Linked DNA regions of Anolis sagrei. The protein of the gene in region 4 interacts with the protein of the main gene of each other region in a pairwise test. Links are inferred from orthologs where the notes say so. Each region holds a gene or a part of one and is shown on either strand. Other genes may lie near its edges. The genes, in order: SFR1, SMC2, SPTBN1 and TRAF3IP1.

The links.
Region 1: the proteins of TRAF3IP1 (region 4) and SFR1 interact in a two-hybrid assay, tested with the Homo sapiens proteins (2 studies listed by BioGRID and IntAct). The link is inferred for Anolis sagrei from reciprocal best matches to the Homo sapiens genes TRAF3IP1 and SFR1.
Region 2: the proteins of TRAF3IP1 (region 4) and SMC2 interact in a two-hybrid assay, tested with the Homo sapiens proteins (2 studies listed by BioGRID and IntAct). The link is inferred for Anolis sagrei from reciprocal best matches to the Homo sapiens genes TRAF3IP1 and SMC2.
Region 3: the proteins of TRAF3IP1 (region 4) and SPTBN1 interact in a two-hybrid assay, tested with the Homo sapiens proteins (2 studies listed by BioGRID and IntAct). The link is inferred for Anolis sagrei from reciprocal best matches to the Homo sapiens genes TRAF3IP1 and SPTBN1.

The regions. Positions count from the first base shown.
Region 1 is NC_090023.1:213,235,174-213,242,821, reverse strand, and holds the start of SFR1 (swi5-dependent recombination DNA repair protein 1 homolog), read left to right. Parts: upstream 1-4,606; 5' UTR 4,607-4,708; intron 4,709-4,916; exon of another isoform or gene 4,917-5,118; intron 5,119-5,171; exon of another isoform or gene 5,172-5,422; intron 5,423-5,966; 5' UTR 5,967-6,008; coding exon 6,009-6,098; intron 6,099-7,648. UniProt on the Homo sapiens protein: Component of the SWI5-SFR1 complex, a complex required for double-strand break repair via homologous recombination. Acts as a transcriptional modulator for ESR1.
Region 2 is NC_090022.1:206,333,227-206,340,926, forward strand, and holds the start of SMC2 (structural maintenance of chromosomes protein 2), read left to right. Parts: upstream 1-4,336; 5' UTR 4,337-4,470; intron 4,471-6,954; 5' UTR 6,955-6,987; coding exon 6,988-7,155; intron 7,156-7,700. UniProt on the Homo sapiens protein: Central component of the condensin complex, a complex required for conversion of interphase chromatin into mitotic-like condense chromosomes.
Region 3 is NC_090021.1:17,026,499-17,034,790, forward strand, and holds the start of SPTBN1 (spectrin beta chain, non-erythrocytic 1), read right to left. Parts: upstream 3,499-8,292; 5' UTR 3,103-3,498; intron 1,000-3,102; exon of another isoform or gene 898-999; intron 1-897. UniProt on the Homo sapiens protein: Fodrin, which seems to be involved in secretion, interacts with calmodulin in a calcium-dependent manner and is thus candidate for the calcium-dependent movement of the cytoskeleton at the membrane.
Region 4 is NC_090021.1:161,922,988-161,930,601, reverse strand, and holds the start of TRAF3IP1 (TRAF3-interacting protein 1), read right to left. Parts: upstream 3,054-7,614; 5' UTR 2,951-3,053; coding exon 2,828-2,950; intron 1,636-2,827; exon of another isoform or gene 1,560-1,635; coding exon of another isoform or gene 1,446-1,559; intron 1-1,445.

The DNA.
Region 1 (7,648 bases), on a different chromosome or scaffold from region 4:
AGACCCTAAGAAGAGCCTACGTATATGGGACAGCATCCTTTTACCTCCAACTTTCCCAGGTTGGCAGGGATAATCCCAGTTTATCCTTTATCATTCCACTTTTTCAGCTATTTTTAAAATGTCCCAGTTTCTCTCACTTCCTCCCTTGTTCTTTGCTTGCTTCAACTCTTACAAGATGAGTTTTGGAGTGGAGTTTTGCCTTCCATTGCTGTAGCATCTTCTAGTTGATGTGTTCTTCCTCATTAATAATGTTTGTCTTTTGACTGCTCTCAGTGTTGCTTAGCCACACATGGACCCATTTTCACCTGTGAAATGTTGGAAGGGGTGCATCTTAGTTTCTAAAGATGCCCAATAGGTGCCTCAAACAGGCCGTAATGCATCTTCAGGCTGTTGTTCCCAAGTACATTTGCCTTTGCATTTTTTTCCTTTTGAAATAGCAGCTGTGTATAGAAAGTGTGTGGGGGAAGATTAACTCTTTCATTGAGTTGTTATAGGTTTTTCGGGCTGTATGGCCATGTTCTAGAAGTATTATCTCCTGATGTTTCACCAGCATCTATGGCAGGCACCCTCAGAGGTTGTGAGGTCTGTTGAAAACTAGAAAAATTGGGTTTATATATCTGTGGAAAGTCCCGGGTGGGAGAAAGAACTCTTGTCTGTTGGAGCTAGATGGGAATGTTTTAATTGGCCACCTTGATTAGCATTTGATGGCCTGACAGTTTTCTAGGTGTATTACTGCCTGGGGGAATCCTTTGTTTAGGGGTTATTAGCTGTCCCTGATTGTTTCTTGTCTGGAGTTCCTCTGAGTGTTGTTTTTTATTTACTGTTACAATTTTAGTGTTTTTTAATACTAGTAGCCAGATTTTGTTCATTTTCATGGTTTCTTCCTTTCTGTTGATATTGTCCACATGTTTGTGGATTTCAATGGCTTCTCTGTGTAGCCTGACATGGTAGTTGTTAACTCTTTCATTCCCCAACAAAGTACAAACAAACTCATCCAAATGCTCGTACCAGAACATACGTTTTAAAAGTACTTTGGCTTGTACTTGTAACTTCTGCTGGCAGATCCCTGAAAAGTTGGAAGCATAAATAATGGCTATTTTTACTGCATCAGTCTTCTGTCTCCACAGTCGGTAATGTCAACAATGCTGGGAACGTTGCCATTTCTCTCAATTTCTGTTTCCTTTTTTGGTTAATATATGGCAAATGATATAAAGTGTTCTTTATTCTTCTTTGCCAAAGAGTGCTATTAATTCATCAAAAGACACCTCCCATGATTCCATTGCATGGAGGTATGACAGTTTAAGTGGTGTCAAAGTGCATTAATTCTGGAGTGTAGATGCACCCTTAGAGCAGCCTTGGGGATGACAGAATAGATTCTATCTCCCTTGAGAAGTGCTGGCACAATATTCTTACAGGGGGGGGGGGAGGATGGATGGTGCTATGCTTATTCAGTTCTTATTGTACGTTATCTTTGCTAAATGAAGTAGCAGCCTTACTTTGCTTAACAGTAGGGCTGGCTTTATTAAGTAGCTACATATGATGAAGAAGAAGCATCATATACAATAGCTTCCATCTAGTACTTACGTTTGGCTCTTTAAATAGATTAAAAAGACAAATGTTCAAACATGTCAGAGGTGAAATGTCCAGGCTGTATTGGTCATATTTATAAACTAAACATGGGGAATGTATTGTTGTAGGCTTTCATGGCCGAAATCATTGGGGTGTTGTAGGTTTTCCAGGCTGTATGTCCATGTTCCAGAAGCATTCTCTCCTGATGTTTCACCCACATCTATGGCAGGCATCCTCAGAGGTTGTGAGGTCTGTTGGAAAATAGGCAAGTGGGGTTTATATATCTGTGGAATGTCCAGGGTGGGAGAAAGAACTCTTGTCTGTTTCAGGTAGGTTTGAATGTAGCAATTGGCCATCTTGATTAGCTCTGAATGGCTGAAAAGCAGTTTATGTGAAACATGGGAAAGTTGTTGTTGGACTCAGGTGCCATAATTTCCAAGCATTCAGGGATGATGGGACTTGCACTCCGACACCTATAAGGCCTCAGGAACCCCAACCCTGCAAAGAATCTGTGTTTTTTGCTAAAGCAACCAGGAAAGGTTTACAGTGAGTAGGAATGTTAACTTGTCACATTGAAGAACTTATTCTAGTCATATCTGTTATTCCACCTTGAATATATCTTTATAGGTTGTTGTATATCTTTATGATTTCTTCTAAGTTGCAAAATCCTCATCCTCCTGCCATTTTTTTTATAAAGACTTTTGCACTGAAGCCTATCATCAATGAAAGCTGCAAAGACTCCTTTGTGCCACCTTCTGCAGAAGAATCACAAAGCCCTGATACAAAGGGAAACCTACAGCCTTGCTGTTTATGTACCTTTAATTCAGTGGTTCTTAAAGCATGCTCCTTGGGGCTCCATGAAGCATGCCGAGGGACTCTGCAATGGCCCCTTGGGTTTCTGCTGCTGTTATTGTTGTTACAAAGCCTGAATGACCATCCCTCGGGGAATTATTTGATTGTGCGTTTCCTGCATGGCAGGAGGTTAGACTGAATGACCCCTATTATTATTATTATTATTATTATTATTATTATTATTATTGAGGTTGAGTAGCCATTAGGGCTGGGCGGTTTCGTTTCGTTAATTCATAATTCGTTAATAATTCGTTAATTTTTCCAATTACAAAACGATAACGAACCATTCTGGAGCAATTTTTTAAAAAAACGAATTTTTAAACACGTTTTGTAAATGCTTCGTATTTTGTTATTGTGTTCGTTTCGTTATTGTTCTGAGGTCGTTTCGTTATTATTTCCGCATGTCTGGGGCAAGTTTTTTGTTTAATTAGTGAAAAAAAATTATAATATCACACCAACAGTCAACAACAGAGGGAGAGGGAAGCTTCAGAAGTTTTTGGAGGTTTTTTAGCGTATTTCGCGGTCGCGTCCGCCATTAACGAATCGATTCGTTATTGATTCGGAAATCGATTCGTTAATGTTTTGTAATTTTTTTCACATTTACGAAATTTCGTAAATATCAAACTTTTTAAAAGGAAAATTTTGTAATTATTTTAAATATCGAAACAAAAAAGCCCCCAAATACAAATCGATTTTAGAAACAAATTTTTCCGTTGTTACCCAGGCCTAGTAGCCATCTGTTGGGGGTGCTTTGTGCTTTTCTTCCATGGCAGAAAGGGATTGAACTAGATGGTCTCCTGGGGCTGCTTCTATTATTATTATTATTATTATTATTATTATTGAGGTTGGGTGGCCATCTGTTGGGGGTGCTTTGATTGTGCTTTCCTGCATGGCAGAAGGGGGTTGGACTATATGGCCCCGGGATTGCTTCTATTATTATCATTATTATTATTATTATTATCATTGAGTCTGGGTGTACTCTTATTACAATGATGATAATTATGATAACAAAGGCTGGGTGGACATCTATTGGGGGGTGCTTTGATTGTGCTTTTCCTGCACGGCAGAAGGAGGTTGAACTAGATGGCCCCTGGGGTTGCTTCTATTATTATTATTATTATTATTATTATTATTGAGGCTGGGTGGCCATCTGTTGGGGGTGCTTTGATTGTGATTTCCCTGCATGGCAGAAGGGGCTTAGACTAGATTGCCCTGGGGTTGCTTCTATTATTATTATTATTATTATTATTATTGAGTGGATGTACTATTATTACAATGATGATAATTATGATTACAAAGACTGGGTGGCCATCTATTGGGGGGGGGGGGGTGCTTTGATTGTGCTTTTCTTCCATGGCAGAAGGGGGTTGTACTAGATGGCCCCTGGGGTTGCTTCTATTGTTGTTGTTGTTGTTGTTGTTATCATAAAGGCTGGGTGGCTATCTGTTGGGGGTGCTTTGATTGTGATTTCCCTGCATGGCAGAAGGGGCTTGGACTACAATGCCCTGGGATTGCTTCTATTATTATTATTATTATTATTATTATTATTATTATTATTATTATGTGGGTGTACTATTATTACAATGATGATAATTATGATTACAAAGGCTGGGTGGCCAGCTATGGGGTGTGTGTGTGTGTGTGTGCTTTGATTGTGCTTTTCTTCTATGGCAGAAGGGGGTTGAACTAGATGGCCCCTGCGGTTGCTTCTATTATTATTATTATTATTATTATTATTAATAACAATAATAATAATATTGAGAAGGCTGGGTGGCCATCTGTTGAGGGTGCTTTGATTGTGCTTTCCCTGCATGGCAGAAGAGGGTTGGACTAGATGGCCCCTGGGGTTGCTTCTATTATTATTATTATCATCATCATTAATATTATTATTATTGAGACTGGGTGGCCATCTGTTGGGGGAGTTTTGATTACGCTTTTCCTGTATGGCAAAAGTTTATGTTGGCCAAAAAGTTTGCCCATACCTGATATATTTAGATAGATAGGTAGATAGATAGATAGAAAAGCGGCTGGGGGGGGGGGGGAGGAAAGGGGCCTGAGGCTGCTAGGAATTGTGGGAGTTGAAGTCCAGAACACCTGGAGGGAGGGCCCAAGTTCGCCCAGGCCTGCCTTACAGTATAGACATCTCTTCTTCCAGCCTCCTTTCCCTCCCCCGCCCTTTTCAGATCGCACTGCGCAGGCGCACACCGATCCGCGTTGAAAGATCGCGAGAAGAGATTTCGGTCGGCTTCCCCGGCGGCGGGAGTTTGGGAGAGATTTGGCTTCTGAGGTAATAAGAAGAGACGGAGGAAAGGAACGAGGGACCCTTTGGTTCACGGCTAATGGACATTGTAGTACGACAGAAGGCCTTGGGGTGCATCTACATCACGCCTGGCCAAGCTTCGGCCCTTCAGGTGTTTTGGACTTCAACTCCCACAATTCCTAACAGCCGGTAGGCTGTTAGGAATTGTGGGAGTTGAAGTCCAAAACACCTGAAGGGCCGAAGCTTGGCCAGGTCTGATCAACACTGTAGAATTAATGCAGTTTGTTACCACTTCAAACTGCCACGGCTCAATGCTATAGAATCTCTATTCGTGCCTCTTCAAATTCTGCAGCACTGCTGGTCACAGCTGACCTCCAGCTGGAGCGGTCAAGGGCCAGGGCTTCCCAATTCTCAGTGTCTATGCCAGAGTTTTTAAGGTTGGCTTTGAGCCCATCTTTAAATCTCTTTTCCTGTCCACCAACATTCAGTTTTCCGTTCTTGAGTTCGGAGTAGAGCAACTGCTTTGGGAGGCGGTGGTCAGGCATCCGGACAACGTGGCTGGTCCACCGGAGCTGATGGCGGAGGACCATCGCTTCAATACTGGTGGTCTTTGCTTCTTCCAGCATTCTGACGTTTGTCCGCTTGTCTTCCCAAGAAATTTGCAGAATTTTCCGGAGGCAGCGCTGATGGAATCGTTCCAGGAGTTGCATGTGACGTCTGTAGACAGTCCACGTTTCGCAGGTGTATAGCAGTGTTGGGAGAACAATAGCTTTTATAAACACACACCTTGGTATCCCTACAGATGTCCCGGTCCTCAAACACTCTCTGATTCATTCGGAAAAATGCTGCACCCACAGAGCTCAGGCGGTGTTGTATTTCGGCGTCGATGTTGACTTTGGTGGAGAGGTGGCTGCCAAGGTAGCGGAAATGGTCAACATTTTCTAATGTTACACCATTAAGCTGTATCTCTGGCATTGGAGAGGGATTGGACGGTGATTGCGGAACAGCACTTTGGTTTTCTCAATGTTCAGTGACAGGCCGAGCTTCTCGTATGCTTCTGCAAAGGTGTTTAGAGTGGCTTGTAGATCTTCTGAATGCGCACAGACGACATTGTCATCAGCATACTGGAGTTCTAGTAACAGATGTGGTAACCTTGGTTTTGGCTTTTTCATCACCATTATTATGCTCATTGGTCGATATTCATGGTTTCTGTGCCCAGAGATTCAACCATCCATGGCTTTAAAACATGCCCACATGTAAACCTTGATTTTTTCTCTCTCTCCAGTACATTAGTCAACTCACAGCAAACCATTAGTCAGTTCTCACAATGGAAACAACTGTGTTAAATGAACCTACATCACTATGCTCCACTCCAGAAAGTAGTGGTCTGAAAAGCAGCAGCTCCTCAGAGAAACAGGTATGTTGCCTAATATTTCCAGTTCTCTTGTTAGCACAGGAGATTCAGTTAACCGGCACTCATGGGGATTGAGAGATGCTGGATAAAGGTAGTTTTTGGTTTTTTGGGAGTTTCTATTAAGAATATTCGACTTCTTTCTGTACCATAAACACTATTGGCTTGATATTAATATTAAAATATATAATTAAAAGCAAATAAAGGCAAACCATTTAATGTAATAGTTTTACAGTTTTGCTGCATTATAAAAGCCTTTTAAATTTAAAATATTATTTCTCTGTGGGTTTTTTGCCAGTTGCTTCAAGAGTTCTGGTTAACTGAATCTACTGTATTTCCAAATTGTTGTGAAGCCTGATTTTATGTAGAATTGTGCAAACCTTGGCTATACTGACAAACATAACTCCACAGTATAGTACATATGCCTATAACAGATCTATGTGTAACTAATTGGTTTCTCCAGTATTGAAAGTAACAATTATAATTAATTTGCTAAGGGATTCCTTCACTCCACTTGCAATTTATTTAGTTCCTATATATACTTGAGTTATGTCCCCGCAAATTGACAAAAAAAACAACAACCCCAAATCAAAAACCTGGTTTGATTTATATTCTGGTTAATCGCAGCATTGTTTTTGAACTGTTTGACTGCCTAGGTGCAGTGTTGTCACTAGGGCAGTGTAGAGGCCTGTGGTGGAGGTGACACCAAAAGGATGGCCACTGTGACAGCCTGTGCTGAACACATCGTGTCACTCCCAAGAACGGTCGCCTGTACCACAGTCTCCACACTGTGCCCTCCCTGTTGGGTTGCTCAGAGCAGGGAGAGGGGTGGTTTAATAATAATAATAATAATAATAATACTTTATTTGTACCCTGTTACCATCTCCCCAAGGGACTCGGTGCGGCTTACATGAGGCCAAGCCCACAATACAACATTGGAACAATAGCAACAGTAATAAAAACAATAAATAAAACTCATAAACAGAAAATAGCAATAAATATTAACAATAACACAACGACGTTTAAAAACCTATGGCAGGGTCAAATGTACTAATTAAAAATTTAAAAAATAATGCTGGCCGTGACAAGGTGACAATAAACAAGATAAAAATTTTGGAGAGGGATAGAGCGTGCAGACAATCCTAGATCACTACTAAAGTGCATTTAGGGACATATTGTTGGGAGTTTCCTTATTCTGGGAAGGCACAGTGGAACTTATTTGCAAATAAGCAAAAATGATAACCCCCCCCCCCCCCCCACGCATCCCTTGATGCTGTTGTGGCTGCTAGCGCTCCTGTGCTCACAGTCCTGTCCTGGCTTCAGTGGCAATGAAGTGCTCCTCATCTCCAGCTCCCAGGCTGTCAGTAACATTGTATAACGCAGCTTCAAGATGACTTGAAGCCACAACATGTAAATTGCTATTGCGCTCTGCAACATGTATTACAGGAGATACCTGCATAGTGGTTTGAGACTGTGTACCATTTTCAATGTCATCACTGGTTTGTTTTCAAATCCTTTGCACAGTGAAACTAGTTCCAAGCTACATTATACAGGGT
Region 2 (7,700 bases), on a different chromosome or scaffold from region 4:
GGGAATATTGACCATGTCTTATAGGGGAAATTGGGGGGAAAGACCTAAAAATATAAAATGAGGCCCTTTGACATGAACAATGGCATGTTGGGGGGAATGGTAAGATAAACTTCCACTAAATAAAATAGACAAGCTCCCAATAGGATCCTTAGAGAACAGAAAATCCCAGGTATACTGAAATATGCTAAAGAAATTGGAACAGAACTAGCTGTACCCGGCCACACGTTGCTGTGGCATATTTGTCCTGTTTACTTTGAATGTGTTTGTTTCTATGTATGTATGTATGTATTCCTGTGCTACTGTCCCTCCTCATTGCTGCATTCAATGCAGAAGGTGCCATTGTTGGTGTATCACCATTATGTAAGATGGCCGTGCCGGGTATTCCTCACAGTTTAGAGGCCGAAAACCCCCAACGAGTCATCACTTCCACTTCAGAAGAGTATAAATCATTTCAGTAGATTGTGTTAGTTATACTATAATTTTTTACCGGCTGTGATGAATTGTGTGGGGGAGGCCCGTGGCTGACTGGAAGAGAGGCCCCAAAGGAATGTCAGAAGCGTTCCCCTTGGAGAAGATGGCGGCGGTGGAGGGGGATGGGGAGGAGGGATGGATTGGGTCAGGGCGGGAAGGGACGGGGATTGGAGGGGCGTAGTTTCCTGGGAAGGGGCGTGACCGGTGGAGGAGGAGGGGCAGGAGGGAAGGATTGCGTCAGTGCGGGAAGGGGCGGGGCGGCGAAGGGAGGGGGCATTGGCGGCGGAGGAGGGAAGGATGGCATATGGGCGGGTAGGGGCGGCGGAGGGTGGGGGAGTGGTTGTGTCGGAGGGGGCGTGGGCAGGGGAGGAGGAGGAGGATGGCGTATGGGCGGGTAGGGGCGGTGGAGGGTGGGAGCGTGCCTTTCTCGGGGGGTGGGTGGCGGAGGGTGGTTGCGGGAGGGTGGTTGTGTCGGAGGGGGCATGGGCGGAGGAGGGGGAGGAGGGAAGGATGGGGTATGGGTGGGTAGGGGCGGCGAAGGGAGGGGCGTGGTTCAGCCATGTGCACGCGCCGGGCAGCTCACGCCGGGACGGCTCTGCGCATGCTGTTTGTTTCTGTGATTGTGAGTTTGTTGTAATGTTGTAACCTACAATACCAAGTATACATCCAAACTAGTATATCATGGCATAGCTTTGGAAACCATTAAGTAAAACAAATTATAGCTATCTAATGCACTTTTCTAAGTTTTGAAGAACAATTCTCACAAACTGTGTCAATTTCTTCACAGCATATAGTGGGATTTTTTGGCTTGATATTCTAGGTTATATGGGTGTTTGGAAGGGCCCTAAGGATTCCTCGAGCACCCACAGATTTTGGTATCCACAAGTCCAACAAGGACATAGTAACATCACCCTTACACAAAGTGATAAAAATCTCTACAGGCAACTCTCAAGTTAGGAAGGTAAGATTTATTGTTTATTTACAACATTTATATGCCGTCCTTCTCGCCTCAAAGGGGACTTAAGAGCGGCTTTACAAGACATATATACATACAGTACATTATATCATTAGCCTAGTACAATATCAATAGATTCTGTAGATTTGTTCTTAAGTTTAATTCATATTTAAGCCAGAACAGGTACACATTTTAAAGTGTAACTAACTGCAGTGTTTGTTTTGCTATCTGTGCCCCTGTTCAGATTTGACGTCACTTTCACTCCCTGTGATAATTTATTTTGAAAAATGTGGCTTCTTGTGGGAATAAGGATCAGAGAAAAAGCTTCTGTGGAGACCCCCTTTTCCCCTTTCAGAAGTGAATGTTCCCTTCCAAGGAGTTGATTTCTCTCACTTCCTGTTATCATGCCCTTGTTCTTAACTATGAGTTGGATGTAACTCAGATACTGCCTGTATGTTGAGTTATTTCTTAATGATTATTCCTGCAGAATACTCTGAATAAGATCCAGAAGCCTTATATCTTTTTCAGCTTATTCTTCCAAATTTGTTCTCCATATCACAACCTACACCATATCCCAAATAAAAACTGGTTATCAAGATGAAGTTTTTTGCCTCCATCACTTTGGCTGCAAGTACCTAAATCTGAATACACCCCAGAAATTAAAGATGTAGTAAAAGATTTTGTAACTGGATTCATTTTTCCTCCGTGATTGCCATCTAATTTCCAGATTTATTACTTAACTTCCAAACTCTCCTTACTTCAATTTAATTTTCACTTTATTTGTACTCTTATAAATAAAACAGCTCCCCAAGATCTGGTTATTGTTCTCAGAAGAAATTGGGAATAAGCCAGTAAAATAGACCTTTTTTACATCTAAAGGAGGGGGGGGGGGAACCCCACAAACAGCTACATGCAAAATTGACACAAAAAGCTAAAATTGAGATAAACATCTTGAGATAAAAGCCATTTCGTTAGTTTCTGACGCAATGGCAGCTCCTACTCCATTTTCTTTCTACTGGAGTACATGGCATTTCACACCCAGGATAAAAAGTGGTGCAGCTGTTATCTGAAATCACTACATAAATTGTTTATAGAATATATAAATTAATAGTATGGAAAATGACCAAAGCACCTATATAAACAATGCCTATATAGTAGCTTGCCTCTATAAATAGCGCCTATATCAGTGTTGCACAACCTTCCTAATTCACTGAGACTTTTTTTTTCAGTGTTCTCTTGGAAATACTGGTTTGCAGATAGACATCTCAGACACACCACCAATTAACTAATTTGCACTGATAAAATGAGTATTTTTTTAGGTTTCCAAACAATGCAAGCTTTTATTTCCTTTAGGATCAGTGTTTCTCAACCTTCCTAATGCCATGATCCCTTAATACAGTCCCTCTCATGTTGTGGTGACCACCAACCATAAAATTATTTTCATTGTTACTTCATAACTGTAATTTTGCTACTGTTCTTAATGGTCATGTAAATATCGGATATGCAGGATGTATTATCATTCACTGGACCAAATTTGGCACAAATACCTGACGTGCCCAAATTTGAATACTAGTGGGGTTGGGAGGGTTGAACAGACCTCACTACCTCTGAGAATGCCTCTAGACCACGGGTCCTCAAACTTTTTAAACAGAGGGCCTGGTCACAGTCCCTTCAAAGTGTTGGAGGGCCAGATTATAATGTGGAAGAAAAAAAAACCATGAATGAATTCCTATGAACACTGCACATATCTTATTTGTAGTGCAAAAACACTTTAAAACACTACAATAATTAAAATGAAGAACAATTTTAAAAATATAAATTTATTAGTATTTCAATGGGAAGTGTGGGCCTGCTTTTGGCTGATGAGATAGGATTGTTGTTGTGTGCTTTCAAGTCATTACAGACTAAGCAAGGGCCAGGTAAATGACCTTGGAGGGCCGCATTTGGCCCTCGGGCCTTAGTTTGAGCACCCCTGATCTAGACCATGGCCATATAGCCTGAAAAAACCTACAACAAACCCAGGGTTGATTTTGTCATTTGTGAGCTGTAGTTGCTGGGACTTGTAATAGTTAACCTACAATCACACCAGCACTTTTTAACTCTTGTACCCATTACTCTGGCCCGGCCCAGTTTTATTGCGTCTTAGTCCATTGTTTATTACTTGTTGTTTAGTTTGCTTAACTGTTTTTAATTTGCCTTAGGTTTGTATTGTTGTATTGTGTGTTGAGGCCTTGGCTTTTGTAAGCCGCATCGAGTCCTTTGGGAGATGCTAGCGGGGTACAAATAAAGTTTAATAATAATAATTCTGAACTCCGTTAGACAATCTTCTTTTCCTGCTTTCCTAAAACTAAATTGTTCTCACACTTTCGATGTATTCTTGGTTTTCTTTCTTCCCTCTATTGCTTTCTTTTGGAACTTTCTATTTCTATAAATTATAACAATAACAATATTTCAATAAAAAAAGAAAACTGCGTTTTTATGGTCTTCAGCGACCCCTCTGATACCCCCCTCACAACCCCTCGACCCCCAGGTTGAGAAACACTGGCCTATATAGTAGTTATCCCAGATAAACAACGCCTATTTGGTAGCTAGCCTTATAAATAATGCCTCTATGACAGCTAGCCTAGATAAAGAACGCCTGTATGGTAGCTAGCCTGTGAAAAAAATGCCTCCACAGCAGCTAACCTCCACCACCAACCTCCCTCCCGCTCCCTTCCCTCCGCACAAAATGGGCGCCGCCACGCCGTGCACCCGCTTTTATAGCAAACGCTGAAGCCGTGACGTCAGCCAACGGTTCGGCCCTCGCGCTCCAAGCCTTTCTTTCCTCTCTGATTCACAACCCAAGAAAGGGGCGGGGCGAGAGGCTTTCGGTGACGTTAGTACGGCCTCGAGAACGCCTGGAGAGAAGGGGGAAATAAAATCAGGCGGCACGATAGGCAGCTATGTCGGGAGCGTTTGAGCGACAGAGAGGAAGGGGTCCTCTTTCGCCCGCGCCAAAATTCAAGTTGAGGAAGAAGGCGTAGAAGAAGCAGGGCGGGAGAGAGGTGAGAAGCAGACCTTCTATTCAATGCTAGGCAGGATAGTGGGGTATGTGTACAGCTCACTGTTCAAACATATAAGCCCGAAAGCTCTTGGCCTCAGTCTCCCATGGCTTGCTCGCTGTAAGGAACAGAAACAAAAAGAGATACAAGAGAGGCATTGTGTCCAATTCTGGGCACCACAATTGAAGAGAGATATTGACAAGCTGGAATGTGTCCAGAGGAGGGCGACTCAAATGATCAAGGGTCTGGAGAACAAGCCCTATGAGGAGCGGCTTAAGGAGCTGGGCATGTTTAGCCTTCAGAAGAGAAGGCGGAGAGGAGACATGATGAGGGCCATGTATAAGTATTTGAGAGGAAGTCATAGGGAGGAGGGAGCAAGCTTGTTTTCTGCTGCCCTGGAGACTAGGATGCGGAACAGTGGCTTCAAACTACAAGAAAGGAGATTCCATCTGAAAATTAGGAAGTACTTCCTGACTGTGAGAGCTGTTCAGCAGTGGAACTCTCTGCCCTGGAGTGTGGTAGAGGCTCCTTCTGTCGTAGCTTTTAAACAGGCTGGATGGCCATCTGTCAGGGGTGCTTTGAATGCGATTTTCCTGCTTCTTGGCAGAGGATTGAACTGCAAGGCCCATGAAGTCTCTTCCAACTCTATGATTCTATTTGGAGTGCACTTTCTGCGCCCACCACCCAAATGTTGACATTCTTCTGCTTCATTCACGCTTGCATCCTGCACACACTCATCACATTATGGGTAGTGTTTGCTTATTTTTTTAAATTCGTTTTTCTCCCCCCATATAAGGACTACAGGTGGCTAAAAATACAAAGCAGTACTAATTAAAAACAATGTAAATGCCTTCATACATATATATATATACATATATATATATTTACTTAGCTGATCCCTCGTTGTTCGAGTAGGATAATCCTCCAGGGTGAGTCCGTAGGTGACTATCGAGCCCTATTCTTGATCTGCATCGTCTCCCGCAGTGAGGGCATATATATATTCTGTAAAAAATAAACCCTTTTTGTTATTAAATATATTAAAATGTATCCAAACGTTGTCCCCACCTTAAACTCTCAGTGCAATTGCTTTTGAAAAACCTGCCTCTCACAATTTATATAGGGATCCCATTCAGCTGCAGTTCTCTGAGGCATTTTTGCAAACCATCCTTTCTAAACATGGTTTTTGATCATGAAATTACTATGTTTTTAGTCCTGCTACTTGTGGTTGGACACTAATAATAATACTAACTCTGGCACAAGCCAGTAAAGGTGGTCCCAGTGGTGATCGGCACACTGGGTGCAGTGCCTAAAGACCTTCGCCTGTACTTAAACACAATCGATGCTGACAAAATTACCATCTGTCAGCTGCAAAAGGCCACCCTACTTGGATCTGCACACATTATTCGCCAATACATCACACAGTCCTTGACACTTGGGAAGTGTCCAGCGTGTGATCCAGTAGAACAGCAAGCATAGTGATTTTCTTTGCTGTGTACTAATCTTGTTGTGTTTATAGTAATAATAATAATAATAGAAGAACTTTATTGATACCCCACCCTATTTCTCAGAAGGAACACAGGGCAGTTTACAACAGATATCAGCAGACATTCAGTTCCTTGAGAATCTTAACAAAGACAAAAATAACCAACCCCCAATCCCAAAAACAAATCCACATCTATATCTAAAATAATAATACACTACGCTGCAATTATACTAGTAATATATGTAACACGTTGCATACAATTATATTATTAGTATACTACAATATATAAAATACACTACTAGTACACAATACTGAGTGTGATCACAGGTTACAAGGCTAGGAAAAAGTTAAAACTTGTTTTTTTCAGCAGGCCTTCAACAACATTTTGATAGTAGCCAGACTGATACCCAAGTATTCTAGCATTTTATATCCACATTTGATTGGTTTACAGCTTGGATCCTAAACTGATTGTATGGACAATTTAATCAACAGCTATTACTGATTTTATTTGCTTGTGTTAATTGTATATGTATATGTTTATGAAAATGTTTTATCGATCTTAATGTTGATGTATTGCATTTTATGTTTGGTATGGCACCAGTGGGTGCTATTTTGTGAGCTGCTTTGAGTCCTTATGGGAGATGGTGGCGGGGTTTAAGCTAAAGTCTTAATTAAAGCTTCTAAGGTGACTGCCAGCATCTTGAACTGAACTTGGGCTTCATACCATAAATATTCATAGCCCAGTACAGAAGTGACAGTCTTTTAACAGAACTCGGTGGTTTATTTGTATCCCCCTTTGCTTGACTTGACATGTAGAACTTTTGCTGTACATGATTTCTTGTAAAAGAGGGTCCAGTGAGTTCAGTAATGCTTACTCTCAAATTATTGATCACAGTATTTGCTGCATCTGCCCTTTGCTTGAATGTGTACACTGCAATTTTTTGAAGCATGACTTTTTTAAAACCATAAAAATGCAGAGTGCCCATACTTTTTTCCATACATAGATCTGCTTGGAATTTACAAGAAGACCAGTTGAAATGTACATCAAATCAATTGTCCTTGAGGGATTCAAGTCTTATGCTCAAAGAACAGAGGTTAATGACTTTGACCCATTGTTCAATGCCATTACTGGTTTAAATGGAAGTGGCAAGTCGAATATCCTGGACTCCATCTGTTTTTTATTGGGCATCACCAATTTATCACAGGTAAGTATATATTTTATATATCTCCCACTTCTTCACCCTTCTCCTATTTATTTATTTATTTTTATTTGCTATATTTATATACTGCCGTTTCTCAGCCTAGCCGGCGACTCAACGCGGTTTACAACATAATATAACAATCAACAATATACAGTTAAAAGCATAAAAAACATAAAAAACATAAAAACACAATTCATACATCAATACCAATCCAGTTCGACTCTTAACTAAAAACGTGATCCAGTTCGTCATCCATATTGCCAGTCCTTTAGTCAGTTACCATTCGTTGCATTGGGTTAACCAAATGCCTGCTTAAACATCCAGGTCTTCAATCTTCTTCGGAATATCATCAATATATCCAGCAATATATCCTTGCTGACCGAAAGGATAGCGGTTAGAATCCGGGGAGGGGGTGAGCTCCTGCTGTTAGCTGCAGCTTCAGCCCACCTAGCAGCTCGAAAGCATGCAAATATGAGTTGGAGGCGTCTGTGGACAGCACCAGCTCTTCGGCTTAGAAATTGAGATGAGCACCACCCTCCAGAGTTGGA
Region 3 (8,292 bases), about 140 Mb from region 4:
GATGACGAAGATGATACTAATATTATTGTAAATAATAATACTTTAATCTAATTATTAATTTAATTATTAAAAGATAATATCTATTAAAAGCACACATGATGATGATGATACTAATATTATTGTAAATAATAATAGTTTAATTATTAATTTAATTATTAACATATAATATTTATTAAAAGCACAGATGATGATGATACTAATATTATTGTAAATAATAATAGTTTAATCTAATTATTAATTTAATTATTAAACAATAACATCTATTAAAAGCACAGATGATGAGTGTGATATTAATATTATTGTAAATAATAATGATTCAATCCAATTATTAATTATTAAATAATATCTATTAAAAGCACAGATGATGAAGATGATACTAATATTATTGTAAATAATAATAGTTTAGTCTAATTGCTAATTTATTTATTAAATGATAATAACTATTAAAGGCACAGATGACAGATACTAATGTTATTGTAAATAATAATATTATAATATTATATTATGATTTAATAATTAAAATAATAATTTAAAAATAATAATTGTAAATAATATTATTATTATTATTTACAATTATTATTTTAAAATTATTATTTTAATTATTAAATGATAATATCTATTAAAAGTCACAGATGAGGAGGAGGATTCTATTATTATAAATAATAATTTGATTTAATTATTATTAAATAATAGTGTCTATTAAAAGCACAGATGAGGAGGATGAGGATGACAATTCACTTTCATCTCTTGATTGAGAAGCAAAGCCGCTATTGTTGTTCTCAGGGGATGAGGGGGGGGGGGGGATAACACCCAGGCACAGGACTGCAAAGCCTAATCTCTCTTCCCTCCCTCCCTTCCCTCTCCCTCCCTCTCCCAAGTGCATCCATTTGCACAAACCTGTTGATGTCGGAAAAGAGGGGAGCGAGGAGAACTGGGGAGAGGGAGAGCAACCTGGACCCGACTCTCCTCCAAAAGCAACTGGGTGCAAAAGGAGGGAGGAAGGGGGGGAGCCAAAAAGGGTGGGGAGAGAGAGAGGCATGGGAGGAGAGCAGCGACCACGCCTGGTTGGGCTTTGAGGAGAGCCTAACCCCTTGTGGGGCTGCTTATGGGGTGGCACTCTGCATCAGGGGGCTCCCCAAAGCCGGGCCTCCATCACCTCTTTTATTTCCCCATCCTTCCATCCCTCCTTCCATCCTCATCCAAGCCAGCACCCTTCCAGGTTCAGGTTCAATGCTTCCTGGTGTGTGAGTGCCTGTCAATGGGATTCCTTCATCCTTTCCCTGGTCAGGGGACCACTTCTTCATCCTGTGAGGAGGAGGAGGCGGGTAATCCAATCCCAATAACAATGTCTTGTGGAAGGCTTTCATGGCCGGAATCACTGGGTTGCTCGCTGTGAGTTTTCTGGGCTGTATGGCCATATTCCAGAAGCATTGTCTTCTGATGTTTCACCTGCCTCAGAGGTTGTGGGGTCTGCTGGAAACTAGGAAAATGGGGTTTATATATCTGTGGAATAATGTCCAGGGTGGGAGAAAGGACTCTTGTCTGTTTGAGGCAAGTGTGAATGTTGCAATTGGCCATACACAGATATATCAACCTCACTTGCCAAGTTTCCAACAGACCTCACCACCTCTGAAGGTGCCTGCCATAGTTGTGGGAGAAATGTCAGGAGAGAATGCTTCTGGAACATTGGCCATACAGCCTGGAAAACTCACAGCAACCCATTATTGTTACTGTTGGTTTGCTGTGAGTTTTCCAGGCTGTATGGCCATCATGTTCCAGAAGCATTCTCTCCTGCCCACATCTGTGGCAGGCATTCTCAGAGTTGGTGAGGTCTCAGATCCTCTCACAACCTCTGAGGGCGCCTCGCCTAGATGTGGGAGAAACATCAGGAGAGAATGCTTCTGGAACATGGTCAACAGCCTGGAATACTCACACTGAACCCCGGAATCTGGCCATGAAAGCCTTCAACAACACATAATATAGGAGCCCCACGGTGGTACAACGGGTGCTGGCAGGACTGAAGACCGACAGGTCAGAGGTTCGAATCTGGGGAGAGTGTGTATGAGCTCTTTCTGTCAGCTCCAGCTCCCCATGCGGGGACATGAGTGCAGATGAGCTCCCTCTGTCAGCTCCAGCTCCCCATGCAGGGACATGAGTGCGAATGAGCTCCCTCTGTCAGCTCCAGCTCCCCATGCGGGGACATGAGTGCAGATGAGTGTCAGCTCCAGCTCCCCATGCGGGGACATGAATGCGGATGAGCTCCCTCTGTCAGCTCCAGCTCCCCATGTGGGGACATGAGTGCAGATGAGTGTCAGCTCCAGCTCCCCATGCGGGGACATGAGTGCGGATGAGCTCCCTCAATCAGCTCCAGCTCCCCATGCGGGGACATGAGTGCGGATGAGCTGGCTCTGTCAGCTCCAGCTCCCCATGCGAGGACATGAGTGTGGATGAGCTCCCTCTGTTGGCTCCAGCTCCCCATGTGGGGACATGAGTCTCCCCATGCGGGGACATGAGTGTGGATGATCTCCCTCTGTTATCTCAAGCTCCCCATGCAGGGACATGAGTGTGGATGAGCTCCCTTAGTCACCTCCATCTCCCAATGCGGGGACATGAGTGTGGATGAGTTCCCTCTGTCAGCTCCACCTCCCTGTGCGGGGCCATGAGAAAAGCCTCCCACAAGGATGGTAAAACCGCAAAACATCCCCTGGCCAACGTCCTTGCAGATGGCCAATTCTCTCTATACCAGGAGTGATTTGCAGTTTCTCAAGACAAACACACGCACACACATAATACCAATCATAAGAAGAGAGTGGGATTGGGTTTGGAGGGGCGAGGTCTGCCTAGCAGTTGTTGTTGTCTTGCCACTCTCTGCATGGACTAGCCTGCATGCCAATGGCAAGGAGACAAAACAGCAGAGAGAGAATTGGGATTGCAGAGTGTCTCCTCCTCCTTCCTCCTTCCTCAAGGAGAGAGTGACAGGTCCCTCCAGGAGGGTCACCCTCTCCTGGGGTGCCAAGGCAGGGCCACTCCACCTCCTCCTCCTCCTCCTGCAGCCTTTCCCCTTCCTTGCCCTACCACCCCGGCTCAGGCTCCGCGGCTTACCTCTCTCTCGGTGGCGTCGATGATTCAGGAGGCTCTCTCTCTCTCTCTCTCTCTCTCTCTCCCTGGCCTTCGAGCTGCCTTTCCTCGGCCGTGGGAGGAAGGCAGGAGCCGGCCAAGGGACCGAGGGGGGTCCGCCAAAGAGAGAGGAGAGGAAGAAGAGGAGGAAAAGGAGGAGGGGGAAAAAGGACAGCAGCGGCGAGCAGAGAGGGATGGCAATGCGGAGGGAGGGGGCACCAAGCGGAGGAAGGGCGGGAGGGAGGGAGGGAGGATGGATGGAGGGGAAAAGGGAGGGACTCCAGGAATCCGCAGCACAAGCAAGCAGCTCCGCCAGAGCCCGGCCTATCTGCCCGCCTCCTTCCCTGCCTCCCTCCGATGCCCACCAGCACAGCAACAGCTGCACTGGTTGGAGCGAGCGGCCAAATGGGCAATAGAGAGAGAAAGAGAGAGAGAGAGAGAGAAAAGGGGCGGGAAGTGCAAGAGAAGAGCCACGGCGCGCGCTCACAAAAAATAAATAATAATATAAAGGCAGGCGGGCAGGCAAGCGAGCGCGCGCACGTCGGTCGCTGAGGAAGGCGCGCGCGCGCGCGCACACACACACAAGGCTCCTGAAGGGAAAAGGGAAGGGAAGGGAAGGAGCTGAAGCTGAATCTCCTCCTCCTCTTCTTCTCCTTCTCTTCTTCTCCTCCTCCACCTCCTCCTCCTCCTCTTCTTCTTCTCCTCCTTCTTTTTCTTCTTCTCCTTCTCCTCTTCTTTTTCTTCTCCTCCTCCTCTTCTCTTCTTCTTCTCCTCCTCTTCTCCTCCTCCTCCTCTAGTCCTCCTCTTCTTTTTCTTCTTCTCCTTCTCCTCTTCTCCTTCTCCTCCTCTTCTTCTCCTTCTCTCCCCCTCCTCCTCCTCAACCTCCTCCTATACTTCTTCTCCTCTTCTCCTTCTCCTCTTCCTCTTCTTCTCCTTCTCTTCTTCTTTTTCTTCTCCTCCTCTTCTCCTTCTCTTCTTTTTCTCCTCCTCCTCCTCCTCTTCTCCTCCTCCTCTTCTTCTGCTCCTCCTCCTCTTCTTCTCCTTCTCCTCCTCCTCCTCTCCTCCTCCTCCTCTCCTCCTCCTCAACCTCCTCCTCCTCTTCTTCTTCTCCTCCTCAACCTCCTCCTCCTCTTCTTCTTCTCCTCCTCCTCCTCTCCTCTTTCTCCTCCTCCTCCTTTTCTTCTCCTTCCCCTCCACCTCCTCCTCTTCTTCTTCTCCTCCTCCTCTTCCTCCTCTTCTCCTCCTCCTCCTCCTCCTCCTCTTCTTCTCCTCCTCCTCAACCTCCTCCTCTTCTTCTTCTCCTCCTCAACCTCCTCCTCTTCTTCTTCTTCTCCTCCTCCTCTCCTCCTTCTTCTCCTCCTCCTTTTCTTTTCCTTCCCCTCCACCTCCTCCTCTTCTTCTTCTTCTCCTCCTCTTCCTCCTCTCCTCCTCTTCTCCTCCTCCTCCTCAACCTCCTCCTCCTCTTCTTCTCCTCCTCCTCAACCTCCTCCTCCTCTTCTTCTTCTCCTCCTCCTCCTCAACCTCCTCCTCCTCCTCTTCTTCTTCTTCTCCTCCTCAACCTCCTCCTCTTCTTCTTCTCCTCCTCTTCCTCCTCTCCTCCCCCTCACCTCCTCTTCCTCTTCTCCTCCTCCTCCTCTTCTTTTTCTTCTCCTCCTCCTCTTCTCCTCCTCCTCTTCTCCTTCTCCTTCAATATTCTATTTATTTACTTACTATATTTGTATACTTCCTCTCTCAGCCTTCCGGCGACTTTGAGGACCCCTGGTCTAGGTCCAGGGAAGTAATGCTACCCCTCTATTCTGCTTTGGTTAGACCACACCTGGAATATAATAATAATAATAATAATAATAATAATATTGTGTCCAATTCTGGGCACCACAATTCAAGAGAGATATTGACAAGCTGGAATGTGTCCAGAGGAGGGCAACTAAAATGATCAAGGGTCTGGAGAACAAGCCCTATGAGGAGCGGCTTAAAGAGCTGGGCATGTTTAGCCTGCAGAAGAGAAGGCTGAGAGGAGACATGATAGTCCATGTGAGAGGAAGCCACAGGGAGGAGGGAGCAAGCTTCCTTTCTGCTTCCATGGAGACTAGGACACGGAACAATGGCTTCAAACTACAAGAAAGGAGATTCCATCTGAACATGAGGAAGGACTTCCTGATTGTGAGAGCCGTTCAGCAGTGGAACTCTCTGCCCCAGAGTGTGGTGGAGGCTCCTTCTTTGGAGGCTTTTAAACAGAGGCTGGATGGCCATCTGTCAGGGGTGCTTTGAATGCAATATTTATTTATTTATTTATTTACAGTTCTTATATTCCGCCCTTCTCACCCCGCAGGGGACTCAGGGCGGATTACAGTAAATACATATATGGCAAACATTCAATGCCAGTTTGACAGACAACAAATACAGACAAATACACCAAGGCTATTTAACTTTTTTCTGGCCGCCAGGGGAACTGCTGCTTTTCATCGTCCATCAACGACACCGATGAAGTTCTTCCGCATTCCACATTCCCCGGAGTTTTCTTTATGGCCTCATAAATTAGTTAAATTTAGCCTCCCACACAAGGTGGTGCCTTATTTTCCTACTTGACAGATGCAACTGTCTTTCGGGTTGCAAAGGTCGACAACGGGCTACACAATGGCTGGACACCCACTCCAGCCCGGGCTGGCCTCGAACTCATGACCTTTGGTCAGAGTGATCTTAATGCAGCTGACACTCAGCCAGCTGAGCCACAATCCCGGTGTTCCTGCTTCTTGGCAGGGGGTTGGACTGGATGGCCCATGAGGTCCATTCCAACTCTATGATTCTATGATAGGCAACACAACAATCTATTCAAAAGCATTAAAAGAAATTGCACTGGAACATCAGCATCCACACTGAATCAAAACTGAGTATCCCCTGAATTCCTTAAAATGTTGAAAATGTGAAAGAGTTGTGTGTGTTTCAATGTTTCTATTGTGCTTTTTGATGTCAGTACTCCAAAATATATTAAAATACAATAAAATATTTCATTGGAGCCCCTTGTGGCGCAGTGAGTTAAACTGCTGAGCTGCTGAACTTGCTGACCGAAAGGTCGCCGGTTCAAATCTGGTGAGCGGGGTGAGCTCCTGCTATTAGCTCCTGCTTCTGCCATCCAAACAGTTCGAAAATTGCAAATGTGAGAAGATCAATAGGTACCTCTTCTGCAGGAAGGTAACGGCACTCCATGTAGTCATGCGGGCCACATGACCTTGGAGGTGTCTACGGACAATGCCAGCTCTTTGGCTTAGAAATGGAGGTGAGCACCAACCCCCAGAGTTGGACACAATTGGACTTAATGTCAAGGGGAAACATTTACCTGTACCTTACATTTTGCTTATATGTCTACGAGTGGTTGTTACTGCTATTTTACAGGTAACCAGGTTTTACCAATGTTTCTTTTACTGTCAATGATTTGACTTCTCTCCAGGGAAGTATTGGATAAAGTGACATGTTTCAAGCAGTCATTTTTCGAATTTCTTCCACTGTGATCCTGCCCATGGCAATTACCTCCAGATATTTTGTCAGTTCATTTGGAACTGCTCTCAGAGCACCTGTCACTACTAGAACTGCAGTTATTTCCTTTTCCCAGAGGTGTTGAATCTCATTTCTAATTCTCAATATTTCCTAATATTTATTTATTTATTTATTTGATGCACTTATTAACCGCCATTCTCAGCCCGTTAGGCTAATACAGCTGACTCTTCCTATCCACTGATTCTGTACACATGGATTCAACCAACCACAGCTTGAAAATATTCCCAATATAGTTCCAAAGAGCAAGCTTTGCTTTTGCTTTTGATTCTGTTGTTTCTTGGTATTGCCACACCTACCATCTAACTTTCATTTTCTTAATCACAGTCGTCATTATCTGGATATTATTATTGCAGATTGAGTATTCCTTACACGAAATGCTTGGAGTATTTGCATTTATTATTGTTGTTGTTGTTGCCCAAAATCTTGAGTTCTTCCCTGTCGGAACCCAGATGCCTTAAAGAGCCAGACTCAAGAGTATGTCCAAAAGTAGAGTTTATTAACACAAAGCAAAAGGGACTCAGAGACACTTAATTCAGTGTCCCTGATCAAAACTCAAAAGTAGTAACCAGTTCCAGTTCAAAAAGTAAACTGAAGCAATAATCCGGATTATCTGGAGAAAAGATCCGGATTAAACTAAAGCGCTTCAAAAGTCACACAAAATAACACAGCAAGTAAAGGGTGAACAAACAAAGAGTTGCAAAGAAGGAGACATAGTCAAACGAAGTCCGAGGTCAAAGTAAGCCAAGTCCGAAGTTGCGAGGTTCCAAAGTCCACGTAGGCAGCGTTGTAGTCGAAACCAGTCTGAAGTCAAAGAAGGGGAAATCTGCACTCACGAGAATCTAAGCCGAGTTGAAACACACACGAACGGAAGCAGCAACCTGCAGATCCAGGGCCCAAACCTAACACAAAAATGGCAGCGACAAAACCCAAGGTACGAAACCAACACTTCGCCTTCTGCAGATTCCCCATTTCAAAGCCTACTTTTATCTTACAGCTCATCATCCGATGATGATCTGACCCCGTCATCATCTCTTACAGCTGTCCTTGACTTCACACGTGAACTCTGTCGCCCATCCCTCCCAACTCCTCCATCTTCTGTCAAGATGTATTAATATTCTTATTCTATCTTTTTAATAATTTTGTGCATGTACCAAAGTTTGTTTGCATTAAACCACCAAAAAGCAAAGCTCTGTCCATATCATTTTGGAAAATGGAAATCCGCATAACCTTTTAGTTATTTTATGATGTTTGGAAAGGTATGACCTTGTTAGAAGTCAGAAGAGAAACAGAATAGAGACCCAGGTACAAATATGTAGCTGGATTAACTTATATAGTATATATAACTATCTTGCAGCATCTTTGAAATTGAAAGTAAGAAGTGTGTATCATAAACTCTGTTTTATCCAATCTGTTTTATCAGATGCAGATGTTAGATAAGGGTAGCAATACAGATTAATAATATAATCAAGGTACAAAAAGGCACAAAACATTCTTAAAACTTGAAAAAAAAAACCTCATGTGGGTGTTCGAATCCTATCAGTGTGGGTTCAGATGGAAAACACACACCAACTTTTCTCTACAACACTGCCAGAGGTCTTTTTTTCTTAAAAGAGGAATATCTGT
Region 4 (7,614 bases):
GATTCTCTCTCTCACACACAGATATAGTATCATAGATTTGAAAGGGACCCCTAGAGAAGGACAATGATATGTCACATGTAGGCAAACCAGATAACCATCACATTAACACTGACAAAGAAACAGCAAGAAATAGTGTTTACCCACAAGTATAAAGAAATTACATATATTAGAAACCAACACTTTCGAATTACTTTATTTTCCAGATCACCAGACTGGGCCACAGCAACGTATGGCAGGGTGCTACCAGTATGCAGACAATACCCAGCTACTCTTGCGTCTCGAACCTGGGACAACCGCGATTCCTGAGAACTTTAGGCTGTGTTTGGAAGCAGTGATGAGTTGGCTGCGAGCGAGCAGACTAAAAGTGAATCCTGCAAAAACTGAGATACTCTGGCCCGGCCAGCCGCCAGAATTAATCCAGTCTCTGCCTGGTTTCGATGGGGAAGCTCTGGTTCCGTCTGCCACTGTTTAAAGCCTTGGGGTTGTGTTGGACTCATCGCTGACGATGGAGGCCCAGATCACTGCCATAAGTAAGCAGGCCTTTTTTCATCTTCGCCAGGCAAGGAAATTGGCATCCTACCTTTTGGTAGAAGCATTGGCAACGGTAATCCACGCAACAGTCACCACGAGGTTGGACTATTGCAACGCCTTATATGCCAGCCTTCCAAAGTCAACAACCCGGAAGATTTGGATGGTCCAAAATGCAGCGGCCAGGCTGCTAGCGGGATCATCTATAAGTTCCCATATTACACCGATTCTGCAACAACTGCATTGGCTACCAATAGAACATCGGATCTCTTACAAGATACCGATCCTGACATTTAGAGCTCAAAATGGCCAAGGACCTTTATATCTTAGGGACCGCCTCAATCCTTTTCTCCATCAGTGGTCACCTCGATCCACCCAGAAAAATCTCCTATACACAGAGGCGGCCCTAGGTAATTTTCAACCGTAAGCAAACAGTACTTTGCCCCCCCCCCCAACCCATCACTGATATATATTGTCTGTTCGTCATGAGAGTTCTGTGTGCCATATTTGGTTCAATTCCATCATTGGTGGAGTTCAGAATGCTCTTTGATTGTAGGTGAACTATACCTCCCAGTAACTACAACTCGCATATGTCATGGTCTATTTTCCCCCAAGAGCGCCTCAAGAGCGCCCCTGGGCAAAATCAACTATACTGCAAATGCTTACTTTGCGTAATGGGTTGAGCCACCCCTGCCTATACATACCGGGCCCTAGGGAGGTACACCTGGAAGCTACAAGGCATTGAGCTTTTTCAACCTATACTCCAATTCTGTGGAACTCATTGTCTCCATACATTAGAGCAATGTCAGAGTTGCGACCTTTTGTAAAGGCACTCAAGACTTGGCTGTTTGGTTGTGCCAACGCCAGAGATACAACTTAATGGTGTAGCATTAGAAAATGTTGACCATTTCCGCTACCTTGGCAGCCACCTCTCCACCAAAGTCAACATCGACACCGAAATACAACACCGCCTGAGCTCTGCGAGTGCAGCATTTTCCCAAATGAAGCAGAGTGTTTGAGGACTGGGACATCCGTAGGGATACCAAGGTGCTTGTCTATAAAGCTATTGTCCTCTCAGCCCAGCTCTATGCCTGCGAAACGTGGACTGTCTACAGACGTCACATGCAACTCCTGGAACGATTCCTTCAGCGCTGCCTCCGGAAAATCCTGCAAATATCTTGGGAAGACAAGCGGACAAACGTCAGCATGCTGGAAGAAGCAAAGACCACCAGCATTGAAGCGATGGTCCTCTGCCATCAACTCCGCTGGACCGGCCACGTTGTCCGGATGCCTGACCACCGTCTCCCAAAGCAGTTGCTCTACTCTGAACTTAAGAACAGAAAACGGAATGTTGGTGGTCAGGAAAAGAGATTTAAAGATGGCCTCAAAGCCAACCTTAAAATCTCTGGCATAGACACTGAGAACTGGGAAGCCCTGGCCCTTGACCGCTCCAGCTGGAGGTCAGCTGTGACCAGCAGTGCTGCAGAATTCGAGGAAGCACAAGTGGAGGGTGAAAGAGAGAAATGTGCCAGGAGGAAGGCACGTCAAGCCAACCATGACCGGGACCACCTTCCACCTGGAAACCAATGCCTTCACTGTGGGAGAAAATGCAGGTCAAGAATAGGGCTCCACAGCCACCTACAAACCCATAAAAATAGTCATCAAGGAAGACCATCTTACTCGTCCAATGAGGGATCGCCTAAGTAAGTAAGTAAGTGTGCATTTCAGTAATCAGATCTAATTTGCCAAATAGTCACTGTTGAATGTTGTTATGTTGAATGTTTTTATATTGTGTAACTGCTATTTTAGATTGTAAGTTGCTCGGAGCACCTTGGTGGAGAGCGACTAATTAAGAAATAAAGTGAAGTGAAGTATCAAATAATAATAGAACCCGACAGCAAATAAACAACCATTGCTAAAATACATAGTTAGACAATCTGTAATTAAAACGGGTCAATAATTAAAAGGGGTCACAGAAACCTGTCTTGGACAAAAAGGGGTCATGAGTGGAGAAGGTTTATGAGGCCCTGGCCCAATCATGAACAGTGATTGTGAACAACAAACTCTTATCTATTTCTACACTAGTGACGACCCAAGAGCGTTTTCATAACCATCTCCACTGCTCCACTGCATGGAGACTGTGGGCACTCCTCTTCCTGGCTTGCAGTCCCAACGCCTGCATTCTGTGAGGGCCAAGGCCTCCCTCTGGTCGCCTAGCAACGGGGCACGCGCGCAGCCCCCCTCCCCTCGCGCCCCTTCCCTCCCTCCCTCCCTCCCTCCCTCCCTCCTCGGGCCTGACCTCCCCGATCACGTCGTGCAGGTAGCGGAAGGGGGGCTTGCTGAGGAGGCGCTCCGTGAGGGGCGGCTTCCGTATCACTCGACCCAGCAGCTCCTGCGTCCGCCGCACCATGGAGCCCTGCATGGCGGCGCCCCGACTGCCCGGACCGGACCAGGCCCCTCGCAAACTCCCGGCGCGCCCCGCGCCCGCCCGCCTGCCTTCCTTCCTCCGCCGCCGTTGCTACCCAACTCCGCCAGCCTAGCAACCGGGCGGCGCGCGGTCCGCCCCGCCTCCTCGCCCTCCCGATTGGACGCAGGGGGAGGGAAATGGTGACGTCATGGACGGCTCCGCCCTCTCGCATTCTCTAGGCCTCTGTCAACAGGGCCATCGCTTTTGGAGAGTCTCCCTTGACCGGCGCCCACGGGGACTGCCAGGTGCAGCAGGGTACACGGAGTTTTATTTTTCTGGTTATTTAATGTTTCTTTTGCTTAAGTGATATTTGTCTTTACTGTTTTAATGTAGAACAAATCCTATGTAAAATCATACCACGTATTTTTGACATTAATATTGAAATCTGAAATATAGACTTCTAGTTGCTGGAGGGTTGCCATTACAAACAGGCCTTCGATTGTGGTTTCGAAGGCTTTCATGGCTGCCTTGCTGTGAGTTTTCCCAGAAGCATTCTCTCCTGACGTTTCACCTACATCTATGGCAGGCATCCTCAGAGGTTGTGGGTCTGTTGGAAACTAGGAAAGCGAAGTTTATTTATCTGTGCAATAATGTCCAGGGTGGGAGAAAGAACACTTGTCTGTTGCAGGCAAGTGTGAATGAGTTGTAGATTTTTTCGGGCTATATGGCCATGTTCTTCTAGAGGCATTCTCTCCTGACTTTTCGCCTGCATCTAGGGCAAGCAGCTTCAGAGGTAGTGAGGTCTGTGGGAACTAGGAAAAGGGTGGGGCAAAGGACTCTTGTCTGTTGGAACTAGGTGTGAATGTTCCAACTGATCACCTTGATTAGCATTTGATGGCCTGGCAGTGCCTGGGGCAATCTTTTGTTGAGAGGTGATTAGATGTTCCAGATTGTTGAGAGGTGATTAGATGTCCCAGTTGCACCCATACCTTGGGAAGTCTGATCTGGCCATGGTGGTCTACGCTCTTGTTACATCCCGCATAGATTACTGCAACGCACTCTACGTGGGGTTGCCTTTGAAGACTGTTCGGAAACTTCAATTAGTCCAGCGGGCGGCAGCCAGATTACTCACCAGAGTGTCATACAGGGAGCATACCGCCCCTCTGTTATGTCAGCTCCACTGGCTGCCAATCCAGTTCCGAGCACAATTCAAAGTGCTGGTCTAGACCTACAAAACCCTATATGGTTCCGGCCCAGCGTATCTGTCTGAACATATCTCCCTCTACGTCCCGCCTCGGAGTTTAAGATCTTCTGGGGAGGCCCTGCTCTCGGCCCCACCTCTATCACAAGTGAGGTTGGTGGGGACGAGGAGCAGGACCTTCTCGGTGGTGGCCCCTCACCTGTGGAATTCACTCCCCAGGGAAATTAGGTCATCAACATCCCTCCTCTCTTTTAGAAGGAAATTAAAAACATGGATATGGGACCAGGCTTTTGGGTAATCTGGCAGATAAACAAAGGACAATCGACGACTAGAATTGATAGGATTTGACAATGTGGAATGAATCTACGGACTCTGAGCTGGCGAACGTTGAGCATTAGATTGGTTTTATTGATTTTGATGTTATAATTGTTTGATTGTTTTGTTTTAAATTGCTGTTTATATATGTTTTATCTTATTGTTTGTGTTGGCATCGAATTGTGCCTTTTGTAAGCCGCCCTGAGTCCCCCCTCGGGGGTTGAGAAGGGCGGGGTAGGAATGCACGAAATAAATCAATAAATAGTTTCCCTTGTGTTGTTTTGCTGTTGTAATTCTAGAGTTTTTTTTAATACTGGTAGCCAGATTTTGTTCATTTTCATGGTTTTCCTCCTTTCTGTTGAAATTGTCCACATGCTTGTGGATTTCAGTGGCTTCTCTGAGTAGTCTAACTCTAACAACCACCATATCAGACTACTCGGAGAAGTCATGAAAGCCTTCGACAATGCAATATTGAAATCTGAAATATATACAGGAAGTCTTTACTTCTGGTTGCTTGAGGGTTGCCATTGCAAATAGGCCTTCAATTATGGTGTCGAAGGCTTTCATGTTTGGAATCACTGCCTTGCTGTGAGTTTTCCCGTCTGTATGGCCATGTTCCAGAAGCATTCTCTCCCAACGTTTCGTCTACATCTATGGCAGGCATCCTCAGAGGTTGTGGGGTCTGTTGGAAACTAGGAAAGTGATGTTTATTTATCTGTGAAATAATGTCCAGGGTGGGAGAAAGAACACTTGCCTGTTGGAGGCAAGTGTGAATGTTGCAAAGGGTCATTAAATGCTAATCAAGGTGGCTAATTGCAACATTCACACCTGCCTCAAAAAGACAAGAGTTCTTTCTCCCACCCTGGACACTAAACCACAGATATATAAACCCCCTTCCCTAGTTTCGAATAGATTCCTCAATAATAATAATAATCATCATCATCATAATAAAAACTTTATATATACCCCGCTCCATCCTCCCCAGGGGGACTCAGTTCGGCTTACACGAGGCCACGCCCATCAGTACAGTACACACAATATAACACAAAAACATAACAAAACCAAAAAATAAAATACATAAAATGCAAAACCAATATAATAAGCGACACAACAATATAAAATCAAACATTAAAACACAACAGATTTCACTGGGCAGGGCCAAATTCAAGGATAACATTTTAAAACACTGGGACATAGGACAATGTAAAACATCGGGAGGAGGATCCGGAAATGATGAAGGATTTAATTGCACTAACTTTTTTAATGCTATCATGATAAAACTTGCTCTAATTGTATCACAGTTTCCACTGTTAGCCTGCCAAGTTTAAGAACATTACACTCATTCACTAATTTTGGGGGAAATTTTGAACTTTTTACAAACAATTTTTCTTTTATAAAAACTACAAGAGCTATCTCCTGGAATTTCATATACAATGCACAAGATAACCAAGGCATTGATCCTCAGAAATTTCAGAAAGATTAACACATCTACAGATTTTGGGGGATTTTTAAAAGTTTAGACAAAAACAAATGATCCCCCCAAGAAGTGACAGCAGCAATCCCTTTGAATGTCTGCCTTTATGACACACAACCTGAGAACTTCAACTTAGCACAGCTTTATACTATTACTTACTTTAGTCCTCTTTTCAGATTCAATAATTTTATTCTCTCTCCTCTTCAACATCTACGTTAGACCCCTTGCTAGTTTGGCTCGGAGTTTCGGCCTGGACTGCTACCAATATGCAGACGATATCCAACTCCTTCTGCGCCTGGAGCCTGGAGCAACGTCAATTCCAGACAATTTCACCCTATGTCTGGAAGCTCTGTCGAACTGGCTGCGTGCTAGCAGACTGAAGGTGAACCCAGCAAAGACTGAGATTCTCTGGCATGGCCGCCCGGCAGGTCTGACTCCTCCGTTGCCCACCTTCGATGGTGCCGCCCTATCTCCTTCGCCTACCGTTAAGAGCTTGGGTGTCGTTTTGGATTCGCAGCTGACAATGGAAGCACAGGTTGCTGCTGCCAGCAAACAGGCCTTTTTCCATCTACGACAAGCGAGGCAATTGGCACCCTACCTATCTGACGAGGCTCTGGCATCCATGCCGGTCACGTCTAGGCTGGACTATTCAACGCCCTGTATGTTGGCCTTCCGATGTCTACGACCCGAAAGCTTCGTATCGTTCAGAACACGGCAGCCAGGTTACTCACAAGAAAGCCCATGAAATGCCATATAACACCAGTGCTGCAACACTTACATTGGCTTCCAACTGAGTACCGTGGCCTGTATAAGATGTTAGTTCTGACCTTTAAAATCTTTTATGGCCAGGTTCCATCGTACCTTAGGGACCACCTCTCCTTCTCCCATCATTGGAGGTCGCAACGACCAGCCCAACGTGACTTACTCTATATACCGGGTCCTAGAGAAGTGCATTTGGAAAGGACCAGGCGCAGGGCTTTTTCTATTTCTGCCCCGGACTTATGGAATTCCTTGCCGCCCTACATGAGAGCCATGCGTGACTTAGGGCCTTTTACTCTCGCACTTAAGACCTGGCTTTTTACTAGAGCATTCGATCTCTGTTAATTTTAATTTTTGTATGTATGTATTTTATCTTTTACAATTTAACTGTAAATCACTTGGAGCATTCTCGGATGGAGGGCGATTAATAAGTAATTAAATGATGATGATGATTTATTTATTTATTTATCAATTTTATATACCGCCACCCCCTGAAGGATCGGAGTGGTTTACAATATACATATACAATACATTACATTTAAAATCAAAGAAACATTTCAATGGCTAGTGCCATTGGGTCCTTCAGATGCTAAGCACTGTAGTTCGGGAAATGTAGTTTGCGCTGTACCGCAAGCACCTGGGTTCGAGTGTGTCCTCCTGAGGGTGGGGAACCGTGACAGTGTGGGGTTTCTGCTGGTGTACCGCCCACCCCGCGACCCAGTAGTTTCCCTGTCTGAGCTAGCGGAAGTGGTCTCTAATTCAGCCCTGGTTTCCCAGCGCTTGGTGGTGCTGGGAGATTTTAACATTCATGCTGAGACCTCTTTGTCTGGCACAGCTCAGGACTTTATGGCTGCCATGACAACCATAGGACTGTCACAAATTATATCAGGACCCACCCACCAGGCTGGACACACCCTCGACCTAGTTTTT